3 linked regions of the Schizosaccharomyces pombe genome follow. Changing the gene in region 2 together with the main gene of any one other region gives a genetic interaction. Each region holds a gene or a part of one and is shown on either strand. Other genes may lie near its edges.

What was found.
Region 1: of zrt1 (region 2) and zip2, changing one enhances a phenotype caused by changing the other (phenotypic enhancement), as found in Schizosaccharomyces pombe (one study listed by BioGRID).
Region 3: mutations in zrt1 (region 2) and fet4 impair growth when combined (synthetic growth defect), as found in Schizosaccharomyces pombe (one study listed by BioGRID).

The regions. Positions count from the first base shown.
Region 1 is NC_003421.2:2,129,141-2,135,619, reverse strand, and holds zip2 (zinc transporter), read right to left. Parts: upstream 3,889-6,479; 5' UTR 3,860-3,888; coding exon 3,840-3,859; intron 3,312-3,839; coding exon 2,162-3,311; 3' UTR 1,411-2,161; downstream 1-1,410. Other genes in the region: isoamyl acetate hydrolytic enzyme Iah1, read right to left, coding at 178-918; SPOM_SPCC126.08C (lectin family glycoprotein receptor), read left to right, coding at 4,641-5,579; ubiquitin-protein ligase E3 Asr1, read left to right, coding at 6,171-6,479. UniProt on the Schizosaccharomyces pombe protein: Probable zinc transporter that may mediate zinc remobilization from the endoplasmic reticulum under zinc limitation.
Region 2 is NC_003423.3:3,604,576-3,611,033, reverse strand, and holds zrt1 (plasma membrane ZIP zinc transmembrane transporter Zrt1), read right to left. Parts: upstream 3,858-6,458; 5' UTR 3,145-3,857; coding exon 1,918-3,144; 3' UTR 1,704-1,917; downstream 1-1,703. Other genes in the region: histone deacetylase, Sirtuin family, NAD-dependent Sir2, read left to right, coding at 1-11, 142-173, 259-695, 760-1,388; cell wall alpha-1,3-glucan synthase Mok13, read right to left, coding at 6,347-6,458. UniProt on the Schizosaccharomyces pombe protein: High-affinity zinc transport protein. Regulates intracellular zinc levels.
Region 3 is NC_003423.3:325,622-332,435, forward strand, and holds fet4 (iron/zinc ion transporter), read right to left. Parts: upstream 4,709-6,814; 5' UTR 4,126-4,708; coding exon 2,371-4,125; 3' UTR 1,803-2,370; downstream 1-1,802. UniProt on the Schizosaccharomyces pombe protein: Required for Fe(2+) ion low affinity uptake. Has a role in zinc uptake under conditions of zinc limitation.

The sequences.
Region 1 (6,479 bases), on a different chromosome or scaffold from region 2:
GAGTACTATGAGATCCATGTAAAGTATTCATTTCCATGAATGATTTTAAAATCGGCATAGATCCTCGGTATCACCGTGCGAATGCTTCTTAGTTTATGTCTAGTTAGCAAAAATAATTATAAGCGAAAAGCATGTGAGAGTGTAATAATCAATAATTTATTCATGAGCCGAAAAAATTTAAGTAAAGAGAATTTCAGACCAATGAGGAAATTGAAGAGGAAGATTGTTCGGTAGCAATTCGGGCCAAGCTTTTGAAATCGTTGCAACAATTTCGTTGAATAACAAACTATACCCCAAAGACGAAAAGTGAAGACCATCCGTGAATAGCAACTCGGGCGTGGGATAGGATTTCGTAATTTCATAAAGATTGATAAGACCTGCTGAATTAGCTTTAGATTTATTAAGGGTGTTCACTGTTTCAGAAGCAGCAATTACATATGGCTCTTGTTCACGTTTAAAACAAATGTCCTTTGTACATATACCGGGAGATACTATGATAATCTTAGAATGAGGAAATGGTCTGGTAAGTGCTAACAAATTGTTTTTAAATTCATCTACGGGGCACATGTATCCGGTTTCAGTTAACTGACAGTCGTTTGTTCCTAAGAAGACGATTAACAATTTTGTACTGTCAATTTCCAGTGGAATTTCCGGTAAATATCTTAAAACATGTCTTGAAGTATATCCTGAGAAACCCCAAACATCGACTCGTAAACGCCTTTGGTAAAAGTTCATTAATTCGGCACAATATCCTCCAGGCGTGAATCCCTTCTGTGTTATAGAATCTCCAATGATAGTTAATCGGTTGAAATATTTCTTTTGAAAAGAAACGTATTTCTCTGCCGGAGCCTCTGAAACGATCTGCCCAATCTCGGTCTTCTCGAAAGAAATATAATTCTTATCTTGAGAGTCTGACATTTAGGATTACTCGTAGAAATCTATATGAACTTTGTTCAATAATTTTTTTCTATCCAGCTATTAGAACCTTTTCGGTAAGCCTAATGGTAATTGCTTCCACGAAAATCAAAATACGAAAGTTTTTAGCAGAGTATGTATGATATCCTGAGTAAAAATGTGTTGCTAAAAAAGAGAATGATTACAAATAAAATCTCCTATGATATTTCTACTTTTCACTTATAGTGTGAATTTGAGGAATTAGCCAACTTATCAACCGCTAGTGAACGCAGACTATAAAAAGGTGAAGGAAAACCGTCCTTAGCTACACTAGTGTTTACTAAGTATGAGGACCTATTTATAAAAAATTTCGATTTTATGGTCTAAAAAATCAGCTATAAAGCCTTATTTTTATTATAAACGGTGTCAGAACTTCCATATGCGTTTACTTATAACAAAACAATAAATCTATCTAAACATACTTCAAAGCAACATTTCAAAAGCTTCTTGTGCATTGCAATACTGATTATTCTTCTTTGAATTGGATACACATTGCTATTTATAAACACCAAATAAGCATGATCTTAAATAACTTGTAGGAATTGAATGAACAGAATATATTAGAAGTGTGCGCATCAAGATTAAGCTGGAACACTTGCGTATAATCAATCTCCAAATCCAAGCGTATTATTATTAATTACGATAGTGATATTCAAAGCGCTTTTTTAAGAGTGCCAGTTTTTTTTTTAATATCAAATTAACAATCAGGTATGATACTTAATAAATCGATACAGAATTCATTAAAAATCTGCGAAACGGGAAGGAGCATACAAACTGTAACGAATTGCCATTTATATTTAAATTGATATTAAAAAAAATACACAAGATTGAAAAAGTTTAGCCTTGTATCCACACATCGCAGGTGTTAAATTAATAAACCGGAAGTATGACCATTAAATGTCTCAAAACCTAAAAACTGAAATAAAGCGGATGAAAGAGAAGGAACACAAATAATAATATTATAAAAAAACAATAAATTTAAGAACTGAGAAGAATTAGTACCGAACAAATTTTGCCAATATAGTATATTAGCATGGCAGCAGAGAGACACAAAACCATATATAAAAATTGTGTTCGGTATATTAAATTTACTTCAAGAAAGGGAAGTAAAACATCGATGAAAGGGAGAAGGGCTTCTAAGGCAATGATATGCCAAATATACTATTAAGTTTTTGTTATCGTTTTTAAAGTAAGCGGGAAGGAAACACTAATGGCTATCAAAGATTTCCAAAAATAAGGTAAAAAGTATACCAATTGTAAAGCAAATGAAAGAGTGCCTTTTATTTTCTGAATGATCGTGTCTTAAAGCTTCAGGAAGAATAACCCGAAGAGAAAGAATTAGCATCATGCCCGCTGTTCCAGCAAATATAATTCCATAGAGAAAATTAAGAAAATCCGAAGAACCAATACCTCCAGCCTCCATTACAAGAAAGGCTATTAAAGAACCAAGAGGTAAACTGCAACTGCTAAGCGTGGCGGCGGTAAGGAAAGCTTTAGGACGAGATTTCCATGCAAGATAAAGGGGATACGCAATTGTGAAACCTTCAACAATATTATGAATACTCATTGCAACAAGGACCATAAACCCCGTATCAACGGTAGAGGCTAAGAAGGTGATGAAGCCCTCAGGCACCTTGTGAAGACAGATAAGCAAAGCGGTCTGGATGCCCATAGTATAAACGGAATGAATATGCTCAATATCATCAGGAGTTCCTGAGTGCGTTGGAAAACTGGAGAAGTGCGCATGACATTCACAATCGCAATTAGAGGGTTTTTTTACTAAATATTCATGAACAGAATCAGAAGAATGTCTAGCGGAGCTATCCTCCAACAATAATGATCCTTCATGAAGATGAGTACCGCTTGGACAATAACTTCCTTGCAAAGATCCAACAACTCGGCTAGATGGGGAACCACTCGATTCACAAGACGATAAACGCTTACAAGATGCAGGAGGACTACGGTGGTTTTGTGCGGTGGAGGGCGAGGGATCACTTACGGAGAAATGATCATGCAAAAAACCAGTTTGGCTTGATTCGTGAAGCCATTTGTGAAGAAAGTGATTAAAAATGTAAAACACTATACCGCCGAAAAAGAAAGCACAAAACTGAAATACACGCACGAGAAAAGTATCGAACATAGAAATTTTCTCTAAGAAGTGAAAGGATTCTTGCATCACGCTAGCCCATGAGCTATACAATAAAATACCGGAGCTAGTAGCGAGACCTGTTACAAGGGCATTATCGCTGTTTGCTAAATCAAGCACTTCGTAACCAAACCATTTGTTGACTAATTTATCGAGATATATTCCACTAGCACCAAATACGCAAAAAGCATTAATAGAAAGGCTTAGTATCCTAAGTTGACAAGTAGTTAGTAAAAAAAAAGTAAGTAAAAAAAGACCACAGCAATCATAAAATTCTTTAGATAGATGTAAAAAAAGGCGTATGCTCATCTCAGTCATCAACAAATTAGCTTGATGTTTAGAACCGCATTTGTTTTTGAGGTTTTAATAACTGTCAAGCAGAATACACTAAATGAAGACAATGGAATATTGAATTGAAAATCAAAGATATAAATCCATTTCCAAATATCGCAAGCAGAACGGTATAACAAAAGCCTTGACATGATATACGATTTTCATCCATAGCCAAACATGAAAAGATAACCAACAAGTACGTCCACTAAATTCAATTTGAATTTTTTATCTGACAGTCAAGATTTCAACAAATCGATAAAGCAAATTCCGAACATCAAGAATGGATTTCCGTGACGAAGATCCATTTTCCGATTTATTACCAATTCATCAGATCTCCAACAATCAAGACAAGAAAAACAAATGATCTTAAAAGAAAAAAAGAAAACATAAAAAACAGATTACTTACCAGCCTTTTGAATTATTCATGACTTTAAATATGGAAATTACTTGAGTATGGTTGGAGCATGGCTATAGTAGCTCATTTATGAAATTCTAAAATCATTCAACAGTACGTTAAAAATAATAGCGTTGCGGATGGGATCGACATTCTATATAACGAATTTATTGAAATAAAGTATTGACGTTAACCACTTTAGCATATTTTTACTGAGATTGCTTTGTTATATCGATGAATTGGAATTTCAGTTTGAAAGTATTTCTTGGCAGTTGGACAATTAGAATATCTTTCAATCATCACACGATCTAAGCTTGTTCTCTAAAAATCTTGTCTATTTCTGCTGAAAGGACCTGTTGTGACCATTCAGCACGATCGTACCGATTGAAGGAAGTCAAGGTTTGCAAGCTTCAAGTTTGGGTTGTATAATACTATCATCTAAAAGAAAATAAAAACTAAATTTATGACCTGGTCCTATGAAAATCCATTTGTTTTATTTCATCGACAAAGCAAATAAACATTGGGCGTTTCAAAGGTCTTTCATTCAAACAAAGCATGTTCCAAAACTTGACTTAGAAATGAAGTAAACGAAGTTAATGCTAAATTTTCTAGGTCTTTACTCTCTACTCTTTGTGATTTTACAGCTTTTACAATTGATTTCAGCTCTGCCTGCCTCTATTGTTTATTATTTCAGGTGACACGTGACCTACTTGGGAATTCTGGCATTGGAAGCACACTGACTCACTTGACCACTACAAACGACACGCAGCAGAAGTGTGGACTGCGTTCTTTTAAAAAAAGGCGGTATTTAATATGTTTTTCTCAGTAAAGAATGTTTTCCTTTTGGGAATCTTTGGGTTTGTTCTTGGTGCATTGGCAGAAACCAGTCACTTGGAGCGTCTGTCTTTGGAAGCTCCTTACATCAACCATGGTATGAGAAACTTATGGTGGGAATATGGTGGTAGCACTGTTATTGATAGAAAGAACGGTATTTTCTTGACCCAGGACGTCCAAAACCAACAGGGATGGATTTCCACCCGTTTACCAACACCGTCTAGCAGCTTTGAAGTCCTTTTTCAATTTCGTATTAACAGTGAATCAACCTCCCTTTTTGGAGATGGTCTTGCGTTTTTTTTAGCTGCTGAGCGCGCCAAACCTGGACCGGTTTTTGGATTTACGGACAAGTTTAATGGTTATGGCATTTTTATTGATACGTACAACAACCATCGTCCGGGAACTTTATTCCCTCGTGTAATTGTGATGAAGGGGGATGGACATACTCCTTATGATTATGAAAACGATGGCAAAGCCAATGAGATTGCAAGCTGTTCTGCTTTGAACGTTCGCGGAAATGACTATAATTTGGGTAAACTAAAATATGACAAAAATGCCAAAAAGCTACGTTTTGAAATTGCTTATCAAGGTTCTTCTAGCTTTATTAAATGTTTTGATCTTAATGAAGTCGAATTACCTCTTACCACCTTTATGAGTTTCAGCGCTCATACTGGTGATTTAAGTGAATCCCATGAAATTGCCAGTATTTTGAGCCGTACAATTACCGATATTGACGATGAGGGAACTCCGGAAATTCCTGCTGAGGAATTGAAAGGTACTACTTATGGACAGAAGAAGGGTTCCTTCAAAAAGCGTCTCATTATTTTGCTCCTCTCACTTATTGTCATCTTTTCCATCTTTGCCCTTCGCTCTTATCAGGTTCAACAAGAGAAGAACCGTCGTACGACCGTACTTTAAAGCAAAAAGTCTTTCTGCGAATTTTCTTTCTTTCCGCAGCACGATTTTCATATATCTCAACGATATTGATTTCCATATCGTCTAGTACTTTATTTTCTCATAAACCCATACTTCTTCCTTGCCACGATATGTTATGTATTAATCGCCTTTTCTTTCACCTCTTCATTCTCTTTTCATTCAATATGAAATTAACATTACCATAATAAAGTATCGTTCGTTCACATTTCTATATCTTCCCTATAATATATGTGATAATTCTTTTTCTAAAATTATTCTTTCACTTTCAAACTCTTTAACCGTTTAAACTGTTCCTTCCTTGTTATTAAACTATTCATTTCCACTCTGCTCCCAATACTGTCGATCGATCACTTTCATTATGATAATGTAGTACAGTGGAAATTGTTAATATACTTTACAAATCTCTCTCGTTTGCGTAACTTCAAAATAACGTTAGTAAACTCGTTAAACAAAATGTTGAACCCCTTAAAGAGCCAGTTTTCCTTCTCTCCTTCTACCATCACCTTCGTTGTATAACTACTGCTTTACGCCCCCACCACCAAATGCCCCGTTGTGGTTCCGGCCCCCACATTAATGAACGCTGAAGAAGATCCAAAGCCGGCAGATTCTGATAGCTCTGAAGAGTGTATCATCTGTCTTAGTAATTTACCAAATTGTCCCTTAGATCAATGGGATTCCAGTAGTGTTCCCGCTTCGATTTCGTCGACCTTGGATGGTCTTCGAATTGCGAAAATTCCTTGTGGACATTATTTTCACAACCACTGCTTGGAATCATGGTGCAGAGTTGCAAATACATGTCCTCTATGTAGAACGGAGTTTCTTAAAGTTGACGTACTTGAATTCGTGAAGGGACCCTGGTATCGTGCATACCCTGTGGAGGAG
Region 2 (6,458 bases):
GAATCAATTTGGTATGCTTACTGATTTATAACTTGCATTACATTAAATTAGCAGATTATTTTTGTTAAATTGCAATAATAATTTGGTCTACTGCATGTTTTGTTTTCTTATGACTTTACCTAGATTTATTAACGTAAATAGCCTAGTGCACTTGAAGAGTTTGAAGACATAGAGTATGCTTTTCTTTAACTTCCTTCTTATCTTTTTATCTTTTATTTTTTAAAATATCTGCTATCGATATACTAACGTGCTAATTAGTTTACTTCCTTTGCTGAAGGAAGTTTTAAAACGTGAGGTTGCTAGGAGAATCAAACTTCCACATTTTAATACCTTTGAAGATGTTGTTAATTTATTGAAAAAAGCTAAAAATGTTGTCGTCCTTGTTGGGGCAGGCATAAGTACAAGTTTGGGAATTTTAGATTTCCGTTCAGACAATGGTTTTTATGCCCGTTTGGCACGCCATGGATTATCGGAACCTTCTGAAATGTTTGATATCCATACGTTTAGAGAAAATCCAGAAATTTTTTATACTTTTGCTAGAGATCTTTTGCCGGAGACGAATCATTATTCCCCCTCGCATGCCTTCATTAGATTGCTTGAAAAGAAGAATAAATTATCAACATTGTTTACCCAAAATATAGACAATTTGGAAAAAAAGACTGGACTCTCCGATAACAAAATTATTCAATGTCATGGTAAGTATTTATTTTCCGATTTGCATCTCGAGCACTGGTGATTTTGTCTAATTTGATTATATAGGGTCTTTTGCTACCGCAACTTGTATCAAATGCAAGCACAAGGTGGATGGATCGGAGTTATATGAAGACATAAGAAATCAAAGAGTTTCTTACTGCAATGAATGCGGAAAACCACCCTTAAAATTAAGAAGAGTCGGTCAAAATAAAAAAGAGAAACATTATTTTTCAGATGGTGATAGTGAATCTTCTGAAGATGATCTAGCTCAACCTGGGATTATGAAACCTGATATCACATTTTTTGGGGAAGCCTTACCGGATTCTTTCTTTAACAAAGTCGGGAGTGGTGAGCTTGAAGAGACTGATTTATTAATTTGTATTGGAACTTCTTTAAAAGTGGCTCCTGTTTCAGAACTCATCAGTGTTATTCCTCCTACTACTCCTCAGATTTACATTTCGAGGACTCCTGTTCGTCATACCCAATTCGATGTAAATTTTCTAAGTCCTTATTGTGATTGGGTTATTGTGGAGATTTGTAAACGTGCTGGATGGCTGAATGAATTACAAGCGCTTTGCGATTTACCTGAGTGTCATAGTGGTTCCAAAACGCGAGCTTTCGAAACGGATTTGGATATAAAATTTGAGGAGCCCAGCACCTATCATATCACGAGCACAACAAACGGTAGTTGTTAATTTTAGGACTGATCGATCTATCGAAGTTGAATGTAGAAGCAAATATATTATATACATATATCGAGTATGAGAGCCAGATTATTGGACATTAACTTATTATCCGTTTGAGACTTCTTAGTTTTGTAAGTGCCATTGTTAAAAACTGTTTTTTCTCTTCGCACCTAATGTTTAAATCTGCTAAACTGGGTGAAAACACATTAAAACAAGTTATAATACATTTTACAATACCAAGGACTGTGTAATTAGTAAATGAACATTGAAGCAAATTACATTCATAGGCTATGCAAAATTAGCTACTTTTTTAAGCATAGTAAATCAGTGAAAATGACACAATTATTATTTAAAATTGAAAGATTGATTGGTACATATCAATACAACCAATGAAGCATCTAATTGTACGATACTAAAGAGAAACAACTGAAAACGGACAATTAGAAATTGGTCAACGATATTGACACTCAAACTCAAAAGAAGAAAACAGATTTAATGAAGAATATAAAATGCACGGATCATCGAAAAAGCCACCAAATCAAGCCCATTTACCTAACAAAGCCATAACTCCAGTACCAGCCATCGAGCATGCCAAAAGGTAAATAAGCTTATACCAGTTACGTTCTCTTTCAGGACTAAATAAGAAATCGTGTGCAAGTAATTCCACTAAACCAGCATAAACCAAAATTCCAGATGAGATAGCATCCAAAACACCTTGGGCAGCATAAGACCCATGAGCAAGAGGATCCCAATGCTCACGAACACCTAAACCAGCTGCCATACCAATAGGCGTAACCAACGAATAGATAACGCCCAACACCCAAGGTACCCATGCAGTTTTTGGGCCCCAGGCCATTCCCGCCAAACGAGAACCTAAACCACAACCTTCAAAGGCCTGATGGAAAATAATGACGGGAAATAAAGTTTTAAATTCTTCACCTGAGACGGCAGTTGTAAGACCGATAATAACACTATGCAAAATGATACTAGATTCAAGAATTATAAAGGCAGTAAGTTGTTGCTTTAGTAAGAAACTACGAGCTTCTTCTTTAGTAGTCAAATCGGTACTATCAGTATTCGTATAAGGTTCTAGTTTTACTTCTTCCAAGTCATCCTTTACACATTCATGCTCAACACCATCGGCACATTCTTCAATATCATAAACTGGATGTTCATGAACACCGTGAGCACCGTCTTCGTGACTATGACTGTGTTGTTTGGCACCAAGAGTTGGACCATGATGATCGCCGATTTCCATACCGAACCGCCATTCCACATAGCGATTCAAAAGGACCTCCAACAAGAGAATAAACCAACAAGAAATAAGACAAATACCTGGAGCCCAATCGTAACCTCCGAAAAGGTCGTCAAGACAAGGATCGTAAAGCTTGTTACAAGCAGGGGCTAACAAGTGAATAAAAGCAGTAGCCAAAATAACACCAGAACCAAAATAACGAGCGAATAGATAGAGATATTCAATATAAACGTTGGGTCTGTTTTTGGTGATTTTAGAAAGGACCAAAGGTAAGTTCATGCCAATTAATGAAGTAGCCAAGATAACAAAGATGGCACCAATACGATATCCCAGATGACCATATTCGTTGAATTCATTGGCATCACCTCCACAAGTCACAGTAGCAGAGCTATCATCGTCTCTTTTTACCAATGGACTATATTGCTTATTAAGAAAAAGATGTCTCAATATTTGGTGAGATTCTTGAGCAAGATATTGATTATATGAGTTAGATAAATTGTTTAAAGACATTTTAATGTACGAGAAAGATACAAGATATAACTCAACAGGGCAAAGTTTGTTTTCAACGAAAAACGTTAAAGAGAGTGAAAATGGAATAGAAATTTTTTAACAACCTCCGAGCTGAGCAGAACGAGTTAAAGGGAGCAATAAACTGAGAGGATAATAGTTTAATTAAGCAACGAGGAAATACCAAACGAAACCTGAAATCCAAAACCAAAAAAAATTAAAAAAAAAAATAACAAATGAGAAAGCGGGGAGTTGATTGAACGAACAATAATTAAGGGAAAAGCAAAATACGCGATAGGCGCACAGGAGGAAGACAAAAAGGGAATAGGTTGAAGTTGCAAAGAAAGATCTCCAAATAATCGATATTTTCTACCACAAAACAATAGCAAAATACCTTAGGAATCCAAAGTGGTTTAAAAAAACAAAACCAATACAAAAAATGAGTGATAAGATCTACAACCAAAAAAAAAAAGCGATCGTCCTTTTGGTTTTTTGGCTGATTGTATTCACTTAGTATTAGCAACGTAAGAGTTGAAGCAGGAGTGATCAGCAATCTCACTTGATAACGAAATCAATCAAAATAATCGTAAAACTGAACTTATAAACTGCCTTATTTTCTGCCAAATCAATCGATAAAGGATTTGCAGCGTAGAATACAAGATTGATAACGTACTCTAACAAAACCTAACAGAATACAAACAAAATACTCGGATCGTGGCTGGAATGAAAGGATCTGCTTTCTTTATATAAAGCCTTGGACTGTTTTTTTGACTGTCATTCTAATGATGTGCGAATCGACGTACAAGGGATAGCAACGACAGGTAACATGGTAATTTTGCACAGGAAAATTTGTACAGATCACCACGTATATCACTTGAAAGTCGGGATAACCAAGGTTTAAGGATCGACGCTTGAAAATAGGTAAGTAAATAAGCACCTCGAACCACCACACTAGATAGCAAACTGAATAAAAAGAAAACGACCCCAAGTGAAAGAAAATTCTTACAAACATTCAAATTAAAAAGAGAAATTTGAAGGATAGAACGAAGCAATGAATTAAGATTCGTTGAAATTCTATACTCTCAACACACACAAGTCGCATGTCCTTTTTGCATGACAACACATCACTTGACTAAATTGTAGACAGCATCTACTAAAAATAGGTAAATTTTATTTGCAGATTGACGTCGATCTGTCACAACCATCTTATTATTATTTCAGAAAAAAAAAAAGGACCAGTCGATGGTAGTATCGTAACTGGTGCCAAAAGGGGATCGCCACATGGAACAATCCATGATCTTTTTTTTTTGCACTATCAGAGGACGGAGTGTTTTAATACACTGCTTGAATACAGTTTAGTGTCAACTACAGTAAGACATTCAATTTTGACGAATAATTAAAATATTTTATATTGATTTTAAAAAGTATTTGATAATGAGCCCACCACTTTGGGAACAAATATGAAAATCAACTTAGGAGATTCAAGTCTAGAGCAATAAATCACGGGGAAAGTGTCATGACGATCGAACGCTTATCAGAAAATCCGATAATCATTTCTTTTTCCAACTTGAAGCAACTTAAAAAGAACTTGAAAGAAAAGCGTTACGTTCATAATGAGCTTGCACAAAAAGATTTACACATACCACATACCTTAGAAACACTGAGAATGAGAAATTTTTAAAGAAGTTCCTCTAATGCATTTTGCGCTCGGATTCGATGGTTTTCGGAATTTTAAATTTTGCCGAGTTGCGCAAACCTGGTGTAAATTGAAAAGGTAACCCTCGTACACAGGAGCTTCGTCGCACATTACTTCAAATAGACAATTGTTAAAAAATTGAATTTTTTTTACATGTCACTCTGTTTTATTATTGGGAATAGAGTAAATCTAGAAATTGTATGTGCTGATGTCTAATCACAATCTTGTTTGAGGCGGTAACTTATATGCTTTTTGTTAAGTGCTTTAGAGAAAGGACTCCAGGGTAGGAATCTTGGAAAAGCAGAATTTTTTTCTTTTTTTGAAACAAAAGATAAAGAATTTTGAGTCGCATTGGTATGTACTGCCAGTTTTATCTCAATATTTTTTGTATAGCTTTGTATGCAAGTTTTTCGCGGTACTATATAATTGTCGCTCTATCAGATCGAAATACTAAGCTGAAATTGATTTGCAAAGCTATAATAATATGAACAAGGGAAAAAAGAAGAGAGAAGGAAGCGAAAGCAATATTGAGCTTCTCTAGTTATCATCTTCTATAAACCAAATCTGCATTGTTTGTCCTGAACCTTTCTCTCGTTGTCCGTCAGCCAACATCTCTAGATTATTTATCGTTCCATGGATCGACATGTTCTGATTTATCGATCGCTGTTTTCGACGAAGATCCTAATAAAATTTCACTGCTTCTCCAAGAATATCCATATAACAAAAAAAAAAACGTAACAATTATAATTTTTTTTATTTAAGATGCAATATTTCTTTATTAATTCATTATATTTTTTATTATTAATTATTTATTTATTTAAATATTTATTGATTTATTGACCTCCTTCTATTGTTTTAAACATTTAAAATTCGAAACTATAAACAGTGCGTCCCTACAAGATGCCATTCGAAAATTTTCTAATAGAACTTGAAATTTGCACAAGGATCTAGTTTGTATCAAAACGCCATAATCAAGTAGTTCCCTTTTTTATATTCTCCGATCAATTTGCCCAGCGCTAAGAAACTTGTATAAGACAATATAAAGCATAAAAAATTATATATGGATTATATAACGATAAAATTTATTTTATTTTATTATGAATCATTTTACTATACAGCTAGAGATATTCTCCTTACTTTGCAGCAATATCTAATTGTCTCCGTTAAAAGATTGCATCGGGAATTTCTATGGGGTTTACCGTTTTCAAATGATTAATAATTTTTTCCCACAAATAATTGTACACCCCTCTCAAAGTTTCCTATACACATACAATTAGTTAAAAGAATATAATTAAATAAAGAAATTCTATAACATTAGTATATGAAATTGAGATTTCGATTGATTTAAATTTAAAGCTTTATGTTGCTTATAACCATGCTTTTGAATTCTGCCAAAGTATTAACTTTTATATCATAATTCATTCATTAATTTTACATTTCTGTAAATGGCTAATAAATAATTAACAAACATTATTATATATCAAGAGACCCATTTAAAACTCTTCATATTTAAGGCCGACTTAAATTTTCTCGGCGAAAAAACAACAAGTAACCAGCACTAACAGCAATTTGTGAAATCAAACAAATCCAAAACGGTGCACTTCTGAATATTTTTGCACCA
Region 3 (6,814 bases), 3.3 Mb from region 2:
TTCCATAGCCATTTTTTGAAACAAGTCATATTTACCATGGAACGGAAAAGATCGAAACTAAGCTACGGAATTCCATGGGTCAAGTGACTTATTTTCGGAATTGTATTGTATTATAGCATGATAGATGAAATTTTATTCAGACGGTAGTTTGTTTTGTATTTACAAGTTTAATATGGAGAATATCTGATGAATAACTTATATTTTTTGAACATTGTAACCAAAAAAGAAAAAGAAAAAGAAATAAAAAAATTTATTAAATTGATTGAATATTTTGTAACGATTATTGTAACATTGGTATAGGAGGAATATAAAAATGTTGGTTTTTAAATGAGTAAAGGATAAAAATTAATTTAACTAGCAACAATATCGCCAAGATTAGCAAGCGAGTTTAAGAAGCTATTAAAGCTATAATTGACGTTGTGCTAAAAGGTGTTGTAATGTTATCAGTTTAAGGAAAATGTATATATCTTTTTGTCAAGTTTAACTATGTTTTTATTAAAAATAACAAAATTTATAATTTCTACTGGTGTGCTGCTGACCTCTGCTCGATTTCCTTAATTTGTAATAATTTTTAAGGTATAAATTTTGCAACTTAATTATCTCTCTCAGTAACGCATCAGTGGTGTAGCGGTAACATCAATGCCTTCCAAGCATTAGCTCCGGGTTCGACTCCCGGTTGATGCATCGATTAAATTTTTGATTTTGTATTGGAATCGATTTTTATATTTTTTAGTTTTTTTTTTGTTCAACGAGTAAACAATGCTTATGATGATCAAAGGAAAGCATGCTTCTTTTAGCAATAATTTGAAAAAGGGTGAGACTTAATTTCGGTCATTAATCCGCCGTGGATAGCATGGATATAACTAGATTATTATCACCCATATGCGTTTGGCAACTATTAGGTGAAAAGTATTTAATGTTTATTTTCATCCTCAGGATTTCAAGTTATTAAAATCTGTTATAATAAGTTCATCATTCAAATTAAGAAAATTCAAACAATTAGTAACTGATCGAAAAACAAAAAACGTAAAGCTCCCGGCGGGACTCGAACCCACAATCCCTTGATTAGAAGTCAAATGCCCTAGCCATTAGGCCACGGGAGCAACGTGATTTATTTAAGTATTAGCAGTATATATTGTAATTGCAAATATGTATCAAACCATCATAATTTCATAAAAAACCGAAAGGGTAATGAAAATATAGAAAAAATTAGGGTTATGATCTAGCTAAATAAATATATCACTAGATTACTGATCAACACTAAATAAAAAAATGATCTATTGTGTTGTATACCGTCATGTCCATATTTTTATTGAAATGTCAACCGATCTATCAAAATTGACACTACATGATCTAGACATGCTGAACACGGTCTACATGCCGTGCACAAAAACAAGTAAAAAATCGAATAACACGCTGCAATTGTGTCATAAACGAGTATTCTCATGACAACGATTCATTGTTTAGAAGACAAATTTGCAGTAAGCATTTCCACATTGTTCGGTATGATAGAAACCAGTATCTAGAGATTTTTGAACCCTTAATGAACTAATGTAGATTCCGTGCATGTCCAAAACGAACAGACAAACAGTTTGTATTGGAACATCGATAGTATCCATTAATTTAATATTTTCAAATTTTTTTTTTCGTAAAAAAGAAGAAAAAAAAAAGGTATGTTTTAAGAGATGACATACTATTAAAATTTTATGATTTATAATCGATCTTGCAAACATAGTAGATTACAATAAAAGCTGCTGAACTTATAAAAGGTATCCTACATTAAAGTGCACTGATTCGTTTACGGACTTGACAATTTAAAATGTAAACTGAATTTAAAAAAAGTGAATTAAATTTTCAAAAAAAAAATAAATGAAAGATAATTATTCGACATTAAGAGGGTGGAGATGGACGCAAAAAAAAATTATTGTGAGATAATAGTCCGCTCCCCATTAAAGAAATTGTTAAGTAAGTCATGAAAGGGGGTTAACAAATGGATAACAAAAATCAAAGAAATTAATCATCAACAGACGCACGTCTATGAAAATTAAATTGAAAGTCGTAACCAAGAAGCAAAGAATTTATGGAAAAAAACCTCGCAGTGGATAGCAACGGCTATAATAACCTTCAAGCCAGAAGCTAAGTAAAAAATAAAACAACATTAATAAATATTATCATTAACAACCAATCCAAGAGCATTTGATGAGAACGATTAAGCAAAGTTGCAACACTTCAGCCAAAATCCAGATATTTAATACCGAAGATGCATTATAATGAGCCCAGCTGGCTTTTGCTCAAATGAAAGCAAGCAGGCAATGATATTTCATTTCAACGGGTAGGAACTTGTTGTTTAGAAAAAAGGAACAATTAAAATTAAACAGTGCTGGTGGTTGAATAGTTATCACCGGCAAGCATTTTCAAGATTGTCAAACGACGAAGATGAATTTGTCGAAATTGGATACGACGCTTCAAGTTGGCTATATTGTGAGCCTCGATCAGAACGATCAAAAGAGCACCCTCAATAATCATAGTCGGAGTGTTACAAAACAATTGAGCAGTCTCATTGAATCTCAAGGATCCAGCTGCAATGATCAGACCAAGAATCACAAATACGGAGAAAAGAACGGAAATAGGCAACGCACACAACCAGCCGATCCACTGACTAAGCGAACCTCCGAATGTACTTTTATAGTTTGTTATGTGTTCATGAGGAAGTGGTAAATCAAGCTTTTGATAAAGGGCGTAATCCTCGTCTATGAGCGTTTGAATTTCTGTGGCTTCTTTGGAACTTTCGCGGAAATAGACATTTCTCAAAACGAAACCATCTAAGAAACCAACAAGACCGGTATAAGTACCAATAATAAGCCACCAATTTGAATCCCAATGCATAACATTTCCGATGGCAATCCAAGCTACAAACACGCAAGTACTAACGACCACACCAACACCAGAACCGATTAAATCAGCATAATAATCAATGGATCTCTCACCAAGATTGATCTTATCCATTTTAATGGTTATTTCTTCATTTGGTTCTTTATCACCCATCATTCTGCGCAGCTCTTCTTCTATTACTGAATCGATGCGGAAGATAGATGTGACACAACGATCAATATACTTCATATGACGGTGTCGAACATTTTGAAGGAAAACAGAGGTAAAGGTCAACTCGACGGCAACAGCGGTATTAATATACAACTGCCATTCATCGGACCATCCTAGCATACGACCGAATCCAATCCAAATAAAGATTCCAATCCAGTATACGACAAGGAAGATAATGGAGCCTACCATAAAACTAACGTAATTGCAAATAAAATCAAACCAATTTTCAGTAGGTAACTTTTCAGCATCACCCACATCGTCTTTCATTAGTGCAACGTTTACGGAAGAAATTTTGGTTTTGTCATTTAACACAGGGCCCAATAGACGACTGGTAGTAAGAAGACGTGAACGCAATTGGGAAATCATAGTTAGTACTTGGATATGTTGATTCTGCTGTTGACGCATAAGCAATGTGTCGGAAACATAACATTGAATAGAACTGCCATCTTGCATAACGATTTGCCAATTATCAGGAGCGCGATAAATACCACCTACGATTGCCCAAACGATAAGGATAATTAGCATAAGGATAAAAGTAAAACTTGTGCCAGCCAATCTTGTGATCAAATCGAAGATTCGTCCACCAATGTCAACATGTTTAAATCTGATATAATCACGCACATTCTTATGCTTGTGTTTTTTCTCATCAGAATCGACCTTTGTCTTTGTTCCATCATCATTGGTGACGAGAGTGGAGGCACTATTGGCATAGTCATCGCATGAGCGTACAAGTTGAGTAGGGGCGGCAACGCAAACATCGTGTTGTCTACCTGGAGAACAGATTAAATCCCAAACGCGAGCGCCGAAAGAAAGCTTCTTTTTTGTCTCGGGTTCGGGTGTAGCAATTCCATCAGGGGAAGGGATTTCTTCAGTAATGGGGGAAGCGAAGTCTTTCTTTTCGTTAAGAGAAATGGAAAAGTCAGCGCCTTTTTTCTCAAACGAAGGGGAATGTTGGAGATGAGAGACTGATTCGACGTTGGACTCTTCAGAAATACTGTCGATTTCTGTGATAGAGGCAGTCATAATGAAACACAAATAGGAAAGGAAGGAAGAAAGAAAGAAAAAGACTTTTATGAAACAGATAAAAGAAGAACAGATGGAAGGGATAACAAGAAACAGTTAAAAAGGTAAGAACTTTTGAAAGACAAAAGAACAGTTAGAAGGAAAAGACTTTTGAAAAAAACACAAAAGAAGAATTAACAATTTATGGGGGGGTAAAGGAGAGTAGTAATAAAAAAATGCAGCAACAACCAAAAGTTGAAAGGCTCTAATGTTTAAAAAAGAAAAGTGAAACAAACAGCAAAGCAAAAGCAAAGGTAAAAGCGAAAGCAAAAGCAAGCAACCCAAAATCAACCAAACTAAAGCAAAAGCTTTTAAAGAGAAAAAATATAAATTAAAAAGAAAAATAAAACTTAAAAAGCAGTCGCTCCAAAGAAAATGAAAAAAAATAAAATAAAAAAGCAAATATGGGTTGGTGGGACGGTTCAGGCGATATGGTTAAATGCTATCCACACCTCAATATTTATCTGATTGCTTTTTCCTATATGATACTCGGATTCACCAGACTTCTCTTAACAAGCAATCCCTCAAAATCCAAGATAAACTTGAACTGATAAGCGTAGATATGCATGCTCTATATAGTATTTTTTCAATGACTATTTTTGATAAGGAGTGTGGAAAAAAACTTACGTTTTGTTGTAAATACGGATGCTGCCAAAAGATGCTACCCTTGGAAACAATCGACGAGACCAAGAGAGAAGAGGTAGACAAAATTTCAATGACACCACTTTGAGGGTTTTTTTCTTACAGGGAAGGAAAAAAGAAAAAAGCGCTGCCACGTAATGTTTAGTGAACAGAGTCAAGGTCAAAAAGAGAATAGTCGAGATGAATAACATGCTATGTTTTTAAGCCATGCCATAGGGGTAAAGGTGTAAGGTGTAAGGTAAATAAGAAATGAAATAAATAAAGACATTTCATTAATCAACATGAATATGAGCTAGCTGGAGTAAGAAGTTCGCTAGTAAATGATTTTGTATTGAGATCGACATCTTTTTCGTAATGTATTGCATTTTATTGAATTGAAATGTCGGTGAGTCGAGAGAAAAGTGAGTATCCCTTGATGGAAACGAGAAATTCAGTCAAATGAACGGATGCGGATTTTCCGGGGTTAATAGAAAAGTAGCGATTGGAACGGATTGCTTGAGTTAAGGAAAAGGATGTACGAGAGTCCGAGCAAAGATGACCGTTTTCCAGGATGGAAGGATCATGAAAAAGTTGCCAAGTGACATGTTCCGTTCCAAGAAAGAATCAGATTTGGAACTGGAAGCGGGCAGTAGAAGAAATTGACGAAAGGACTTTGTCTAAGAGGAAGCGGATGGGAGGAAAATCCTTTTTGTCAGTATGGAAAATCAGCAAGTTTAACAAGCCTAGTATATGATGAAGCGAAAGAATATGAGTATGGTAGGAAATGAAATGTGGTGAAAGAAAAGAAAAAGAAATAAAAGGATGAAAAATGAAAAAAAAAGAAGTAAATCTTTAAGAAAAGAAAGAGTCTAATATTTTTGATGATTTAATCGCAAACATTCTTGTTCATATTGCAAGAAATCATCACCTGATCAGATATTGTATCGCAATTGTTGTTGTTTAACAGATGAAGTAACTTTTTCCCCAGGGATTTCATTCAGTTTAGGGAAGAAAAAAAAAAGTAGGTTGGAAAAGGCATACGATAAGATATGAAAAGGCAACAGGACACAAGACAACCAAACGCATAATCCCGCAAGGCAAAACTAGGCAAGCAAGTCAAGCCAAGTCGCAAGATCTATGTTGTTGTGTTGGAATAGTAATGGCGAGATTGATGGTGAATTTCAATAGAATGTCACATTAGCGATAATGTGAGTTGATTTAGCTGAATGAGTAATTTCGTTGAATGAATATTTTAGCAGAAATGGAAATTTGAGATGCAGATGTGGATGGATATGTAAGCGTGAATGAAAACTCTAGTATTTTATTTTTATCTGATGAAGGGGGAAATAGAAAGGGAAATTACCAAGGGGAATTAAGAGGTTGAAAAATACAAAGTTGAATTACTTTAATTACTAAACTAAATACTAATTAAATTATTAAGCTGGACAATTTTTCTATAAAGTTTCTTTCATAATCTCTTTTTGCATCTTTTTTTTTTTTTTTTATTGAGCTCTCTCACTTTACGACATTTTCAACTCACGAGACTTTCTGCTACCTGATGCAAGCAGCGCCGAATGAAATAAAATAATAAATAAAATAAAAAGCTCAAAACAAATTAGACATATCTTTATACCCGAATCTAACAATGCATCTAACTAAATAAGAAAACTTGTCTACTTTACCATGCAATATCAGATGTGTGAAAATGCTTTTTGCAAACATATCAGATGTGTTGAAAATAGAAATTAGCATATCTGATATCCCAAGAAAAAAGAATTTTTTTTTTTATCGTACGTCTAGACAAAATATTTTACTTTTTCTAACCATCAAAGTTGCGAAACTTAATATATATCTGATTCATACTACTTTTTTTAAAACAAATATGATAAAACATACGTATCCTATACGGAACCTCATAGCCATAGATTTCTTGTAGCCCAGAATATTCAAGTACAGTGTTTCAAACCATCTGAACTCTAGTAAAATGAAATTGTCTACATACGATTTTAATTCATGTTTCAAACTATTA